Linked DNA regions of Alligator mississippiensis. The protein of the gene in region 1 interacts with the protein of each later gene in a pairwise test. Links are inferred from orthologs where the notes say so. Each region holds a gene or a part of one and is shown on either strand. Other genes may lie near its edges.

Region 1 (7,406 bases):
TACGCCACGGCAAGCCCTAGGCCGGGGGAAGCACGACCCCCCCAATCCTGTCCCTGTAAGTACCGAGCCTGGCCCTCACCGAGCTCCTCCTTGGAGAAGGGCAGGAAGGTGGTGTCCTCATTGAGGTTCTTATTGAAGTCGATGCAGAGCAGGCTCAGCTTCTTCTTAATGGCTTTGATTTTCTTTGCAAAAGAAGCAAGCGGAGATGAGCGTGTCAGGCAGGGGAGGCTGAGCGGTACCTCCAGCCGGGCTGGCAGTTTTGCACCCCCAGCTCCCCCATGTTTGCTGCGGGTATTTCTCCAAGCAGGATGGCACAGTGCTGGCTGCATGCAGAGCCCTCAGCCTCAGTCTGGCTCGGGTCCACCACCCCCAGCACACCTGCTGTTGGCTAGCTAGAGCAGCTGCAGGTGACCAAGGCACATCCAGCCTCAAGCTTCTCTTCTTTCTCCTTCATTTCTATTTTTAACCCACCTCGTGCCCTCTGCTGCTCGGCCCAGCCAGCTGCCGCTCAGTCCCCGACTGAGAGGACTGCCCTCACCAGCTCAGGAAACCCAAGCCAAGCCTGCTCGCCATTTCCCAGCGCCAGCCCCTGCCTGCAAGCCTTAGGTTACTGTCACTCCCAGCTGGGAGCTGCTTTCCTACCAATGCTGCTGATTAGGACTTCTCACCCCAGAACCCGTCCAGACCCTTGGAGAAGCGCAGGAAGGGAAACCTGGGGCAAATCCCCCAAGATCACTCAGTGAACTGGTGACGGAGCCAGGGATACAGGATGCCTATGCTCTGATCTAACCGCTAGACCCTGATCTTTAGCCCCATGGATGGGCCCAGGCAGCCTTAGTTTCTGGTTCTTGCCATCTCACCTCCTGCGTGTCTTCAGGGAGGTGTAAGCCATTTCTCTTGCCCAACTTAATCAGCCTCTCCAGGTATCTCTGGGCTTCAGGCCTCAGGGATGCACTTTCCACTTTCTCCTGTAAAACAAACAGCCAGGGGCATTAGGAGAGGAGGCAGCAGCGCCCTGGGACCAATGCTGGCTTGCCCACAGCCGGGGAACTGACTGGGCAAGGCCCACATACTGTCGTAACGACTGCTGACCCTGAACAAGACAGATGTCTCCTGCTAAAAGGACGAGACCTGAGAGCGGAGTCACTGACAGGTCATTTCACTTTCAAGGCACTTTGCAGATTTAAACCCACCCCCAGCTTTCAAAAGCTGGTCAGCATCACTCCCCTTACTGTGCAGATGGGGAAACTGAGGCAGAGAGCATAAGCACCTAACATTTCAAGCCACAGACGGAGTCAGAGCTGACAACAGGGCCTAGAACTGAACTCTGTCCTTCACAAGAACAACTTGATCCTGTTACCCTGATGGGGTAATTTAGTATTAAACTGGACTTAACAGAGTCACCTGGTACACAGAAGGACTCACTGGCCCCCCCAGAAGCACTCTGCAGACTTCCTAATCAGACACTAAGCCCCTCTTGCCCTGGGCACGTGTCACCCCCCTGCCACAAACCTGGAGCCAGACGATCCTCTGGTACACGTCCTGCCTCATGCTCATCTCCACGTCGAACTCCGAGAGCTTCTTGTCGGCCTCTGTGCTCGCCGTACGGATGTCTTTGCAAGGGGAGACGTGCTGGGGGAAGTCCAGCATGTTTCGGTGAACTGGAATGACAGAGCCAGGGGCTGAAGCTGTGGCAGGGCAGCTGGCCTCATCGTGATACCACACAGGCAAGGGATGCTTTGTGGAGGCAATGCAAACTGACAGCCCCGCATGCTGACAAATGAGCCAAGTAGTGGACGGCAAGCGATCCCACCAACCTGCCTCACTTCTGACCTGACAGGACCTCCCTCTCCCACAGCCTGCTCCATCCCCGGTCTCTACAGTGATCCACTGGGATCGGTGCAAGTTCCTTGGGGCAGGATTCTTGCTGTCTTACTGGTCTGAAATGCATCTCACATCCTTCTGGCTCTGTGGAAATTCATAGATTTATAGATTTTAAGGCTGGAAGGGACCTCGCAAGATCATCAGGTCCAGCCCACCCGCACTAGGCAGAAAAGACACCTGGGGCAGGTGACCCCAGCAAGGTGACCGTCCAGTTTCCTCTTAAAGATTTCCAGGGTAGGTGACTGCACCACGTCTGAAGGGAGTTTATTCCAGTCCAGACACCCTGACTGTGAAGAAGTTTTTCCTAATGTTAAGCCTGAAACGGTCTTCCAAGAGTTTGCGGCCACTGCTCCCGGTTTTCCCCAAGGGTGCCCCGGTAAGCAGCTGTTCGTTGAGCCCTTGATGTATTCCCCTGATGTGGCGGTCAGCTGCTACCAAGTCCCCTCTCAGCCTGCTCTTTTTTAGGCTGAAGAGACCCAAGTCCCTCAGCTTTTCCTCGTATGGCTTGCCCTGCAAAAGTCCCTGATCATACGGGTGGGTGCTTCTCTCAAGCTTTTGCACATCCTTGTTGAAGTGCGGTGCCCAGAACTGGACACAGTCCTCCAGCTGCAATCTCACCAATGCTGAGCAGAGCGGAAGAATCACTTCCTTGGTTTTGCTGGAGATGCATCGGTTGCTGCATGCCAGGGTACTGTTAGCCCTGCTGGCTACAGCTCATGGTCATGCTGTGGTCTATTATTGTCCCTGTGTCCCTTTCGTTCGTGGTGCTGGTCAGTTTGGCACCACCGAGCCTGTAAGTTGGGGACTGTTCATCCCCAGGTGGAGCACTTTACACTGCTCAATGCTGAACTTCATCTGGTTCCGACCCGCCCAATTTGCCAACCTGTCTAGACAACTGCTCAGCATTTCAGATCCTACAAGGGGAAGGCAAAGTCTGCGTGGTTTATCCACCCTGACATGCCGAGATTGAGCAGGCATTTTGCTGACATCTGCTGCATTTGTAAGCCTGGTGCAATTATTCTGCACCACATAAGCCCTAGCTCCTAAAAACAAATATGTAGGTTAAAATCGAAAAGGGGCTCAGATAGCCATGTGGTCAGGTGTCAGCTCGTAGGAGCTGGGGGTAGAAAGGGCCTTTTATCCCAGAGGCAAAGAGGTTTTGCTGCCAGGAAGCTTTTCATGACAATCTCCCACGTTTCCTACCCTCTCCCCTAGTTGGAGCCCCCAGATACAAAGGCTAACGAGAGGAAATGCAGAGCAAGGCTGCAGCGGTTAACGACGACAGGAAGAGACGATTCCACAGACCAAAGACCTGAACCGTCATCCAGCTCCTCACGAGAGCTGCCGAGATTCAGCCGCGCCCTGTGCCTCCGCGTACCCGTATACTCCACCTCCACGTCAGCCAGGGCCTTGAGGGTGTTCTCGTAGGAGACCTCGCCCTGCTCCTGCGCGCCCACGCGGTCGTACACCTGCTTGGTCCTTTCCACGAGCTCCACGGTCGTGCTCTCGATCTGCTCGGCCGTCAGGTTCCATCGCAGCCGGTTGGCGACGGGGCGGGGGGGCTGGCTGTGCACGACGCTGCCTGGGACGGCCGCGCGCGCCGCGTCACCGACGGGGGGAGTCACCAGCAAATCTCCCACCCCCCTTTTGCCCCCCCCACTGGCTCCCACCCTTCCCCCTTTGCCCCCCCACTGCTTCCCACCCCCCCTTTTGCCCCCCCACTGGTTCCCATCCCCCCCTTTACCCCCCCCCACGGGCTCCCACCCTTCCCCTTTTTGCCCCCCCCCGGTTCCCACCCCCCTTTTGCCCCCCCATTGGTTCCCATCCCCCCCTTTACCCTCCCCACGGGCTCCCACCCTTCCCCTTTTTGCCCCCCCACTGGTTCCCAGCCCCCCCGCACTGGTTCCCATGCCCCCTTTTGCCCCCCCAGCGGATCCCACCCCCCTTGCCCCCCCGCCCCGGCGGTACCTGTGGGGGGGGCCATGCCGGGGGGGGAACTACTGCTGCCGTGCAGGCGGCTCCCCGCTCACAGGGACATGTGTCCCCAGCCTCAACCACAGAGAGGAGGAGGTGGAGCAGGCAGGGAGGATTCTGGGATGTTGGAGGACTGGCGCTGGGGGGCGAGGTAGACCTCTCTCCCCTCAGATGTGGGGGAAGGGCTGGGGAGGTGCAATAGCATAACCCCCCCACCCCCTCCAAGCCAGGGCAGGGGCCCGATCCTGGCTCGTATTGGACATGCGCTGGGTGGGGGGGGCCTCCAGGAAGTATGATCCCCCCAGAGTGGGGAGCCAGCCACGTCTCTATGGTACACAAGGCGAGACACCGCCTCGCCTCGCCTCGCCTCGCCTCCCACAATGCCTCGCTAGCAGCACTTCCGCCCCCTGTAACCTCACTTCCCCTTCCGCCAGGGAAGAGGACGGCACGCAGGCGCAGAGGCGGCGCGGGCGCCCCAGCGCCTGCGCAGTGCGGCGGAGGCCGAGGGGGCGGGGTCGGCCGGGTCGCCGTGCGCCTGCGCAGTGCGCTGCGGGCTCTGCCGGGGCGAGCGCAGCTCGGAGGCGGCTGGTGAGAGGGGCGGGGCTGACCCCCCGCAGGGGGCGCCCGGGGGGGCGCGTGTCCCCTCTCCCGGGGGGGGGCTGTGCTGCGGGCACGTGTGTGCGTGCGTGTGCACACGTGCGTGTCTGTACACGTGTGCATCTGCGTGTGTGCACATGTGTGCGCCTGCATGCACCTGAGCCTGTGTGTGCATGCCTGCCCACACGTGTGTGCCTGCTCCGAGCCTCTTGGGGTGCTCCAGAGGCCCTTGGGTGTGAGCGGGGAGTCGTGCAAAAGCTAGAATAACCGGAGCGCGTGTGGGGTCGCGAGCACAGCTCCGCTGCCGAGTTTCGGCTCAGCCCGTCCCGCAGCGCAGAGGGGTCGCGCTGCGTGGGGTCCGGTCTAGCCACAGCGTCCAGCCTTCGGTGCCCGGCCCTCCCCCGTCGGGGAGCCTCGCTGTTTTGCCTTGTACTGATCGCACCCTCCCCCGGCCGCAGACACTTGTTCGGGGCAGTCGGAGAGCAGCCGTGCAGCATGGCGGACAGAAAGCGCCTGGCCTACTCCATCATCCAGTTTCTACACGACCAGCTGCAGAACGGGGGGCTGTCCCCCGACGCCCAGGAGAGCTTGGAAGGTAGGCGGCTGCGTGCCCCGCCCTGCCCCGCCCCTGCCTCCCTCCCGAGCTGGGCTGCCCGGGCCGGGGCTCAGCATCGCCGATGGGCTTCTTGCTTGGTTGTGCAACTCCCTTCTGGCCTAGTACTGATGCTTTCCTAATAACCATTCATAGATGTTAGGTCGGAAGGGACCTCAATAGATCATCGAGTCCGACCCCCTGCATAAGCAGGAAAGAGTGCTGGGTCTAGATGACCCCAGCTAGATACTCATCTAACCTCCTCTTGAAGACCCCCAGGGTAGGGGAGAGCACCACCTCCCTTGGGAGCCCGTTCCAGACCTTGGCCACTCGAACTGGGAAGAAGTTCTTCCTAATGTCTAGTCTAAATCTGCTCTCTGCTAGCTTGTGGCCATTGTTTCTTGTAACCCCCGGGGGCGCCTTGGTGAATAAATCCTCACCAATTCCCTTCTGTGCCCCCGTGATGAACTTATAGGCAGCCACAAGGTCGCCTCTCAACCTTCTCTTGCGGAGGCTGAAAAGGTCCAGTTTCTCGAGTCTCTCGTTGTAGGACTTGGTCTGCAGGCCCTTAACCATATGAGTGGCCCTTCTCTGGACCCTCTCCAGGTTATCCGCATCCCTCTTGAAGTGTGGTGCCCAGAACTGCACGCAGTACTCCAACTGCGGTCTGACCAGCGCCCAATAGAGGGGAAGTATCACCTCCCTGGACCTATTCGTCATGCATCTGCTGATGCACGATAAAGTGCCATTGGCTTTTCTGATGGCTTCGTCACACTGCCGGCTCATGTTCATCTTGGAGTCCACTAGGACTCCCAGATCCCTTTCCACCTCTGTGCCACCCAGCAGGTCATTCCCTAGGCAGTAGGTGTGCTGGACATTTTTCCTCCCTAGGTGTAGCACTTTGCATTTCTCCTTGTTGAATTGCATTCTGTTGTTTTCCGCCCACATGTCCAACCCGTCCAGGTCTGCTTGTTCTGCGTGAACCCTTGCAGCTCTTGGTGTGTCACAGGGAGAAGAGCAGCTTTCCAAACCACTAGCTAGGGGAGCAGCCAAAAAATATCACCACATCCTGAGCTCACTCTGACCAGCACCGGCTGGCTAGTAGTCATCCTTTAGCAGCAGGACTGGGATTTTTCCCATCGGCATCCTGAGTCCAGACTCCAGGGTAGCGGAGCGGGGTTGAAACACGGCTCTAGAAGGCAAGAGGAAATCTAAGTGTCCCCCTCTTTCCCCACCCAGTTGCAATCCAGTGCCTGGAGACGGCGTATGGTGTGTCCATGGAAGATCAAGGGCTGGCCGTGTCTCAGACCCTCCCTGAGATCTTTGAATTTGCTACAGGACGGGTGAGTGTCCTGCGGGGTAGAGCTGTGGATTCAGGATTGCTGTGAGAAATGCACGTGTGGCTCGGTTTCGAGGCTGCACTGTCCCTGTGGGGGAGTTGGTGCTGGCAGCGTTTCGCTCTGAAGGACCCAGCCTTGCAGGGGATTGTAGCGCTGGTTTGTAGCAGATGCTGGTGACACTAAATTATGCCTTTCTCTCCCCTTGGTGTTTACTAGGAGTCTCAAGACAGCAGGACGAGCTCCGAGCCGGTCACCCCTTCCGAAGAGGATGTCACCGAAGCTGAACGTCTGAAGACTGAAGGTCGCTTCCTTGAGGGAACTGCGCGGGCTGAGCTGAGCTGAGCATGGGTGTGGGTGACAGAGGGGTGTGTGCAGAGTGGAGGGAGGACTCCCCTCACAAGGGGTCAGGGTGTGCTGTGCTGGAGCGGGCGCTTCCCCCTGTTCTGCACAGTTCCTTCTGAACCGGGGTGTGGAAACTAGGCGCCACGATGCTTGCCAGCCCTGAAGAACCGAAGGGCCAGGTCTAAGCCAGTGAGGGTACCACAGCTGGTAGGATGTCGCTGCCCTGGTCACGGTCCTGTTGGGAGCCTGCTGGGTTTGCCTGAGCTGTAGCTATAATCTGGAAGAGTGTTGGGCACATTGTTACCTTCTCCTGGTGCATAGTTTGCTTCCTGTGTGGCTCCACTTCCCAGCAGAATGGGCCCTGAATGGAAACGCTGCCCGTTCTCTGACAGCCTGGCTTGATGGGTCTGTGGCTGGGGGGGAGCAAGAAAAGCGGCAGTGAGAAGCCTCGATGGTGCCTTCAAAATGGGGAAGTAGAATCCATGTGCGAACTGGCAGGTTCCCTTCTGACATGGCTGTCGGTAGCTTAGAAGCACCGTCATACCAGGACCAGCACGGTTTCCACAACAGACGTATCCGTGCTGTGTGTGAACACATCTCCTGCTCACTCATGTTCTAAGGCACTGGCAAAAGGCCAGAGTTTTCAGTCTTGTATCCCTGCTCCTTTTCTCATCGTT
Region 2 (7,929 bases), on another chromosome or scaffold:
TGCCCCCAGACTCACCCTCATTCTCGTAGCTGGGCACACTGTCTGGAGGGGAGCAGAGGCAGGCGGTCAGGGGTGCCCACATCCGCCTCTCTGCTCCTTCATCCCAGGGTGAACCCAGTTGTGCCGCCACCCCGCCACATTCGTCTGTCCCACCCCGTACCGCGGGGCAACTCCAATTATCCCCCTACCCGCCTGTCTGCTCCTCCATCCCAGGGTGAGCCCAGTTGTGCCCCTGCCCACGTCCATCTGTCCAGCCCTCAACCCCAGGGCAGCTCCAGTTACCTGCCTCCCCGTGTCCATCTATCCGGCCCCTTCCCCTGGGGTTAGCTCCCATCCCTGCACCCTGTCCGCCTCTCTGGCCCAGGTGACCCAGTGGGGGGGAGCGGCACTCACCATTGTCGGGTTCAGGTCGGGCCACTGACGCCGTGCGGCTTGGAGGGGCCTGAGGCGAGCGCCTGGGGGGCAGGAGGGGCCGGTGATGCACAGAGCACAGGGCCCCCAAAGGCCACAGCACCCCCGCCCCAGCCTGGGGACCCTCGAGGGGTCAACCCCCGAAGCAGGAGGGAGGTGGGCAGCCCCGTGGAGGGCCCGCTGGCAGGTTGGGGGGGGGCGGCACTCAAGGCCACTTACGGGATGGAGAGGAACTGCTCCGTGGGGGTGACGGGCTGCTGGCGGATCTGGTTGCGGGGGGCACCTGGGGGGGGGGCAAGGGGTGAGGAGAGGTGTCTGGGGAGTGGGGGGGGGGAGCAGGGGCTGAGCGTTACTCACAGCTGCTGCGGCTCAGCAGGATGAAGCTGTTCTGGGGGGCGCAGGGGGCTGGGGGCCTGCAGGGAGGGGGAGACACCGTAAGACCCCCCCCAGTACAGCCCCCCACCCCCCTAAACCTGCACAGTCAGATGTGGACAGACAGACTCACTTGTACTCGTAGTCACCAATGGCCTCTGGACCTGAGGGGAGGGGAAATTGGGGGTGGCGTTCAGGGCAGCCTGGGGGCCCCTCCACCCAGCCTCAGAGAAGGAGAGCCCGCACACCTGGGTCCTCTGCCTAGCACAATGGATGCCGGGGTTCTGCGCCCAGCTCGGGGTGGGAGCCGCGGGGGGGTCAGGCACTCACCACGTGGGGACCGCCGCGGACAGTGGGCGCAGAGCAGGGCAGCCACAGGGGGCAGCAGCGCCAGGACCCCGAGCGCCAGCAACGCCGGCTCCATCCTCCTGCACGGTGGGGACCAGGTGTCAGGGACCCCCTGCCGCACCCGGACACCTGGGCTCTCCATGTGCAACCGGGGATCCAGTGCCATACAGCGGGGGCGGGGGAGCCTGGGGCCCACCCAGCCCTGAGAGCGCGGGGCTCGGACGCGTGGGTTCCCCACGCTCCGGGAAGGGGAGTAGGGTCCAGGGGCTTAGAGCAGAAGAGCCGGGCCGCCTGGGGTCTCTACCTGCTCCAGGAAGGGGATCAGGGTCCGAGGGGTTCGAGCAGGGGGCCCGGGCGCCTGGGTTCGACCCAGTACAAGGCCCGGACGCCTGGATTCACTTCCGCGTTTGCTGGCTTCAAACGGGGGTGGGGGGGGTTGGGAGCCCGGATGCTCGGGTTCACTCCCAGGCCAGGTGGGTTAAAGCACATGGTGGCCTGGGCTCTTCCCCAGGCAGGCCACGTAGGTGCCACCCAGATGCCTGAGTGCCACCGAAGACCGGGAGGGGAGCAACCTGGCAGGGAAGCCCAGATGCCTGGGGTCTCCCCAGCACCAGGAGAGCAGGCCCGGCAGGCCGCTGTACACGGGGCCGGAGCTGGCTCAGAGGAGGGGAGGTTGGGGGCCCGGTGGGTGACAGCAAGTAGCACCTGGGTTCTCCTCCAGGCCTTTTAGGTTCAAACGTGGAGGCCTGGGGCGCCCGGCCGCCTGGGGTCTCCTCCAGCTTTGCTGGCTCAGGAAGGGGCAGGGTTGGCGCTCAGACCCCTGGGCTCTTACCGCCCCAGGAGATTAAAGCTCGTAGGAGCCAGGCACCAGGCCTCGTAAGGTGGGACCAGGACCGGGGGTGGGCTGAGAGCTGGGTTCTCCAGCAGGGGAGGAGTGCGGCACTGACTCGTGGGGGGGCAGGTGCTGTGGGCGTCTCGGCTCCGTCTCAGCGCTGCGGTTTGCACGCGGGACCCGGGCGCAGCAAAGCAGCTGCAGCCCTTCCCCCCGCGGGGCCCAGCCCAGCCCGGCTGAGCTGGGGAAATGGAGGGGGGGCACAGTACTGGCGCGCAGGCTGACAAGCCCCTCGGGGCGCCCTGCTCCCCCCAGAACCCAGGCGCCCCAGCCCGCCCGATCCAGCTGAGCAGCCAAGGGTAACGACCACAAACCGCACTGGGGATGCGGCCAAGGGGACGGGGCGGCGCGGGTGCAGAGTGAGGGGCACCGCCCTGGGCTGACAGGGGTGCTGCCAGTCAGGAGTGAGGGGCACCGTGGCAAGAGGGGGCAAGAGGGGCACTGCCAGGGAGCGACGGGGAGAGGAGTCAGGCAGGGAACTGCCGGAGGAGGTGACGGGGTGGGGCTGCAGACCAGGAGCGAGGGGCGCCGCCACGGGGCAATGAGAGGGGGCCGTGGGTCGGACGGGGTGCTGTGGGGCAGGAGTGAGGGGCACTGCTGTGGCACACAGCGGGCTCGTGCATGGGGAGGGACACCACCAGGGGGAAAATGGGGGGGGTGCACGTGAGGAGCATGTTGGAGCAACAAAGGGGGTTGCAGGTCAGGAGTGAGGGGCACGACCATGGGGCAGGGACACCCCCCAAAATGGTTAGGAGCCCAGGTGTCCGGGGGCTGTCCCCGCCCCCACGCCCTCGCCCTGAGGCACGTGGCCACATCCGCACGTCCAGCCAGCGTGGGGGCAGGACATACGCCACCACTGGCTTCCTGCCCACTGGGCCGGCCTGAAGGGCCATGGTTTCAGGGTCCCCCCGCCCTGGGACCTACCTGGGGCCGGCGCGGTGGCTCCGTCAGTGCAGCCTGGCTGCCGCGAGGCTCTGCCTGCCCCCCCCACTCCCCTCCCCCCGCCCCCCATCCTGCCCCTCCCCCGCAGCACAGGAAGCTGCGGCGGGAGACTGAGGCTGGGCAGGAAGTTGTTCACTGCAGGCGGGGGCACGCACACCCCTGCCCAGAGAAGCCAGGCGTCCGGGCTCCCAGGCCCCCAACACAGACCACACCTGGGACCCATTAGGAAGCCTTTAATGAGGTGCAAAGACAGCGGTATGGGGATGGCTTCCCACACTGCAATAGGGCAACTAGACCCCCCCCACCTGGGAAGGCACAGCCTGAGCCCCGCCACCACTGCAGGGAAGCCTGGCACCCCAATCCCCCGGCGGGGCAGGCTGTGCTGGCTGGGGGCTGGCACTGGTCACGCCCCAGTCTGGCCCTGCAGGGGTAAAACCCCTTGTCCGTCCATCCATCTGTCCATCCATTTGCGGCCATGGGCGCAGGGAACAGCCACTCTCTCCTGTCCCTTCTGCGCGGGGGGGGCAGCTTCCATCCCGGCTGCGTGGCTACGGTTGTGTCCCGCCCTTGCATGGCTCTGGGGGCGCTCTGGTCCCTGTGCCCCGGGCGCAGCTCCGGGGTCTGAGGGGCTCAAATGAGGACGCTGGAGACAGGCAGCTGGGCTGCGCGCCCCCCCCGCGGCACTACAATGCGCTCGGACGCTGCTCCGGGGCTCCCCCCAGCCTCCGCCAGCAGCCCTGCAGTGGGGAGAGAGGCAGAGAAAGGTTAATAGCGGGTGGGGGCAGAGAGGAGCCAGATGTCTGGGCTCTTTGTCCCACACCCAGCCTAGGGTGCAAACAAGTGAGCAAGTAAGAGCCCCAGGGCAGGTGGAAGCAGAGACACTAGAGGCCCAGACACCTGGGAGCAAATGGGTCGGGGCTGGGAGCCCGGACGCCTGCGTTCCCTCCGGTAGGTGCAAGCCAGGGGAGTGGGAAGCCCAACGCCTGCGTCCCCGGACCATCCCGGCAGCTCCGAGCAGGGCTGGGGGTGGTCTCAGGGTGCTACACTGGGGCTGTGCTGAGCCTGCGGAGGGCTGTGAGGGTCCACAGGGCCGTGCTGGGGCTCAGAGGGTCGTGGGGGCCATGTTGGTCTGGGAGTCATGCTGGCATCTAGGAGAGGCTCAGAGACTGTGCTAGGTCTTAGGGGCCTGCGTTGGCCCGAGGGCCGTGCTCGAGTCTGGAAAGATCTGATGGCTGTGCTGTGCTGGGGTCTGTTGGTCATGGGGGCCGTACTGGGCCGGGGGACAGTGGGGCAGACTCACCCTGTGCCTGCAGGTGGGCACGGCGCCGGTCAGCAGGCAGCACGAGGGCGGTGGCGAGGAAGAAGCCGCCTCCGAGGGCTCCCACGAAGGCACAGAGCGTCAGCGCATAGCCCAGGCTGCGGAAGGCCCACAGTGGGGTGGGGGGCCGGTGCCGGCGCACCGCGTCACTCATCTGTGGGGGGCACACGGCTGGGACCAGGCATCTGGGCACCCGCAGGGAACAGCAGCATCCTGGTTCCCAGCCCTCACGCCCTGCCCACGGATCCCAGGTGTCCCGGCCCCCCATGCCCAGCCCCTAGCCCTCACTCCCCTCCCAGGAAACCCAGGCATCCAGGCTCCCTGCCTGGCCCCCATGTTGGGGGGGGGGGGTGGTATCTCACCACCCCGACGAGGTAGGGGCTCCCAGCATCTCCCAGCAGGTGGGACATGACGATCTGCAGTGCCTCGGCCGTCGACCGCCGCGTTGGCACCACCACATACTGCCAGGGTCAGACCACAGGTTAGAGGTCGGGGGCAGCCCTGGGATCTGACCCCTCGCCCCCACCACAGCCCAGCCAGGGGGAATCAGGCACTGGGTGGCCGGACGCCTGGGTTCTCTCCCGAGTTTGCTGGTTTAGAAGGGAGGGTGGGGGGTGTTGAGGTCCCAGATGCCTGGGTTCCACCTGGTGCTACCCCTCCCCTCAGCCCAGGCACCTGGGTCCCCCTCAGCCCCCACTCACCAGGAGGATGTCAGCAACGAGGGCCCAGTTCAGGGACAGCAGCGTCTCCCCAATGAAGATGAACACCTAGGCAGCAAGGGGTGGTGAACCTGTGACCCTGGGCACAGCCCCCAACACCCGGCCGGGCCCTGGCCCACCCTCCCTGTACTCCCACACCAGCCCGGCGGCCCCGACTCACGTAAGTGACAGGGATGCTGGCACGGGCCAGGGCCACAGCCAGGAAGAGGCAGGGTGCAGCGCCTAGCAGCCCAATGGCACACACCAGGGGGTCGGCGCGGGAAGAGCGGAGCCGCAGCCGACGTGACAGCTCCACGCCTGCCCCCACGCCCAGCACCCCCGTCACGCAGGTCACTGCCCCGAACACTAGGCTGCAGGCACAGGGCATGGGTCAGGGGGCGTCGGGCCCAGAGGCACATAACAAGCATCTCACACTCACACACACACACACACACACACACACACAGCCAGGGGTCACGGGTTTAAGCTCTGGCACTGTAAAGGTGCCATGGGTCAGAAACCAAGCACCTCGCACAGACATCAAAGATCAAAGTTCATGAACTTTACATGCACGACAAAGGCTCTTCACACATGGCAAAAAACAAGATCACGCGTTGGGCACCTTGCACACATGCAAAGGGGCCAACATCAGAGATCAGGCAGCTCACAGGCAGGCCGGAGGTCACAGGACACACGTCACACACAGAGTTAAAAGTCAGAGGTCAAAGCTCAAACATCTCCCACACACCAGCACACAAACCAAGCGCTGCACATGTGCCAGGAAAGCACAGACCACAGCCCAGGCTCCTCGCACACACACCAGGGGTCAGTGCCTGACCTGTCGTCAGCGGGCGGTGCGCCGGCAGCCAGCCGGGCACGCTGCAGGAAGGCTGGGGCCCAGAGCGCCAGGGCCCCTGTCACGAAGGCCACAGCCGTGAAGCCCAGCGAGGACAGCACGAAGCTCCGGCTGAAACACACGGGGGTAGTAAGACCCAGCTCCAGCCCCCACCACCCCGGGCCCTCCCCCAGCCACACACTCACTTGCGTGCCAGGGCTCGCACGTCGTCACACCAGGAGGTGTAGTGGAGTGGGGAGGGGGGGCCGTGGCGCTCCACGGCCCCCCGTGGCGGCTCCTTCATCACCAGCAGCAGCAGCACCACTGCCACCACTCCCAGCCCAGGGGTCACCTGTGGGAGGGAGGGGGTGGGGTCAGGCCTGAGGCCCCGCCTACCCTGCCCTGATGGGCCTTTGCTCCTCCCACTAGTCTTAGGCCCTGCTCCTAACACCCAGGCCCCACCCCCTGCAGCATAAATCTCACCCCTAGGGCTGCCCCACCCTTGCTTCATGCCAGGGGGAGAGGGTACAACGCTGCCTCCGCACCGCCCCAGCTCACCCTAAGCGCCCAGTGCCAGTCGTGCATGACATCCTTCACCTTGGAGCCTGCCATGTAGCCTAGGCCGCTGCAGTGGAAGGAGGCAGGGGGGGTCAGTGACAGCCCCACGGTGCCCCCGCCCCCACCCTGTCCCAGCCAGGCCCCTGCCTGACCTGCCCACAGGGATGGCGAAGTAGAAGAACCCGAGCATGCGGCTGCGGCGGTCGCCCACGAAGAGGTCGGCGATGATGGTGGGGGCCACGGTGGAGTAGCTTGCCTCCCCCACCCCCACCAGCCCCCGTGTCAGCAGCAGCAGCCAGAAGTGCTGGGAAGACGCAGGGGCGGGCACAGTCAGTGCTGGGGGGTACATCCCACCCGTACTCCCCGAAAGCGGGTGCCCCCCTGCACCAACCTGCCGGGGCACAAAGCTGCTGGCAAGGGTGACAGTCGACCAGAGGGCGATGCCCACGCAGAGCAGGAGGCGGCGGGAGCTGCGGTCCCCCAGGAACCCGAACAACGGCGCCAGCACCATGTAGCTGCTGATGAACACTGCGGGGCGCGGGGGTGTGAGCGGGCGCGGGAGGGGCGCAGCCCTGCCCTGCCCTGCCCCCGCCTCGCGAGTCGGGCTGCCCCCGCCCTCACCAGTCTGGAGGAGCCCGGAGCTGCCGTCCCCGATGCCGAAGTAGGCCTCGATCTCGGGCAGGACGCCTGCGGGCAGAAGCGGGGGGTGAGACGGGCAGCGCCGGCCCGCGCCGCCCCGGGGCCCTTCGCCCTCCTGCGCCCCGCACGGCTCTTCGAGCAGCGTTCGCTCGGGGCACGCCGAGCTGCCCCGACTCCCCGAAGCCTTGTCCTCGCGAGGCCGCCCTCCGCGTACCCAGCCCCGCCAGCACGTGTGGCCCCGGCGCGCCGTACCGGCCACGGTGAACCGGTCCATGTAGTTGAGCAGGTTGACGTAGCAGAGCACCGCCACCATGAGCCGGGCCCGGCGCCCCGACACCCCGGTGATGGCCGCCGTCTCTGCCTCGCCCAGGGGGGCCGGCCCGCCGCCCCCCTCGTCCTGCTCCTCCTCCTCCAGCCCCTCGTCCTCTTCCTCGTCCTCCTCCGTGCGGTCGGCCCGGCTCAGGAAGGGCGCGCTGTCGGGGTGGGGGCTGCGCCGCGCCGCCATGGCGGGGGGAGGGGGCACAAGCGCGGCTGGGGCCTGAGGAGCAGTGCCCGCGCCCTCACGTGACCCACAGATTTCCCCGACCTCACGTGACCCCAGGCTCCCCCAACACCTCACGTGACGGCAGCGCCGCCACGTGACCCGGAAGCGCCCCCGTCGCCCCCTCGCACCCCAAGAGCCCACGTGACCCCCCCGCGGTGACGCAGCGCTCCCCGAACCCCGCCAACTCACGTGACCCTGCGGCAGCCTCCCGCCCCGTCACCGCCCACGTCACCTGACCCGGCAACGGCTGCGACGTCACGCCCGGCTCCGCCCCTTCCCCCTCCGATCCCTATGGCAACCGCAGGGATTTCCCCGCCTCGCGTCACCCACCTGCTCCCTCGGTCACCATGGCAGCCATGGGGGATACCCCCT

The links. The genes of interacting proteins can lie anywhere in the genome.
Region 2: the proteins of SGTA (region 1) and LAT interact in binary tests that used the Homo sapiens proteins (3 or more experiments, as listed by UniProt). The two-hybrid records come from large-scale screens. The link is inferred for Alligator mississippiensis from reciprocal best matches to the Homo sapiens genes SGTA and LAT.

The regions. Positions count from the first base shown.
Region 1 is NC_081839.1:2,267,442-2,274,847, reverse strand, and holds the start of SGTA (small glutamine-rich tetratricopeptide repeat-containing protein alpha), read left to right. Parts: upstream 1-4,347; 5' UTR 4,348-4,446; intron 4,447-4,913; 5' UTR 4,914-4,950; coding exon 4,951-5,050; intron 5,051-6,286; coding exon 6,287-6,390; intron 6,391-6,603; coding exon 6,604-6,688; intron 6,689-7,406. Other genes in the region: THOP1 (thimet oligopeptidase), read right to left, coding at 80-182, 861-968, 1,513-1,661, 3,263-3,466, 3,853-3,868. UniProt on the Homo sapiens protein: Co-chaperone that binds misfolded and hydrophobic patches-containing client proteins in the cytosol. Mediates their targeting to the endoplasmic reticulum but also regulates their sorting to the proteasome when targeting fails.
Region 2 is NC_081830.1:220,740-228,668, forward strand, and holds the start of LAT (linker for activation of T-cells family member 1), read right to left. Parts: upstream 3,028-7,929; 5' UTR 2,948-3,027; intron 1,212-2,947; 5' UTR 1,208-1,211; coding exon 1,114-1,207; intron 948-1,113; coding exon 917-947; intron 825-916; coding exon 769-824; intron 695-768; coding exon 631-694; intron 456-630; coding exon 394-455; intron 43-393; coding exon 16-42; intron 1-15. Other genes in the region: SPNS1 (protein spinster homolog 1), read right to left, coding at 3,596-3,702, 4,266-4,437, 4,646-4,744, 4,985-5,050, 5,163-5,352, 5,820-5,948, 6,023-6,168, 6,375-6,441 and 4 more. UniProt on the Homo sapiens protein: Required for TCR (T-cell antigen receptor)- and pre-TCR-mediated signaling, both in mature T-cells and during their development.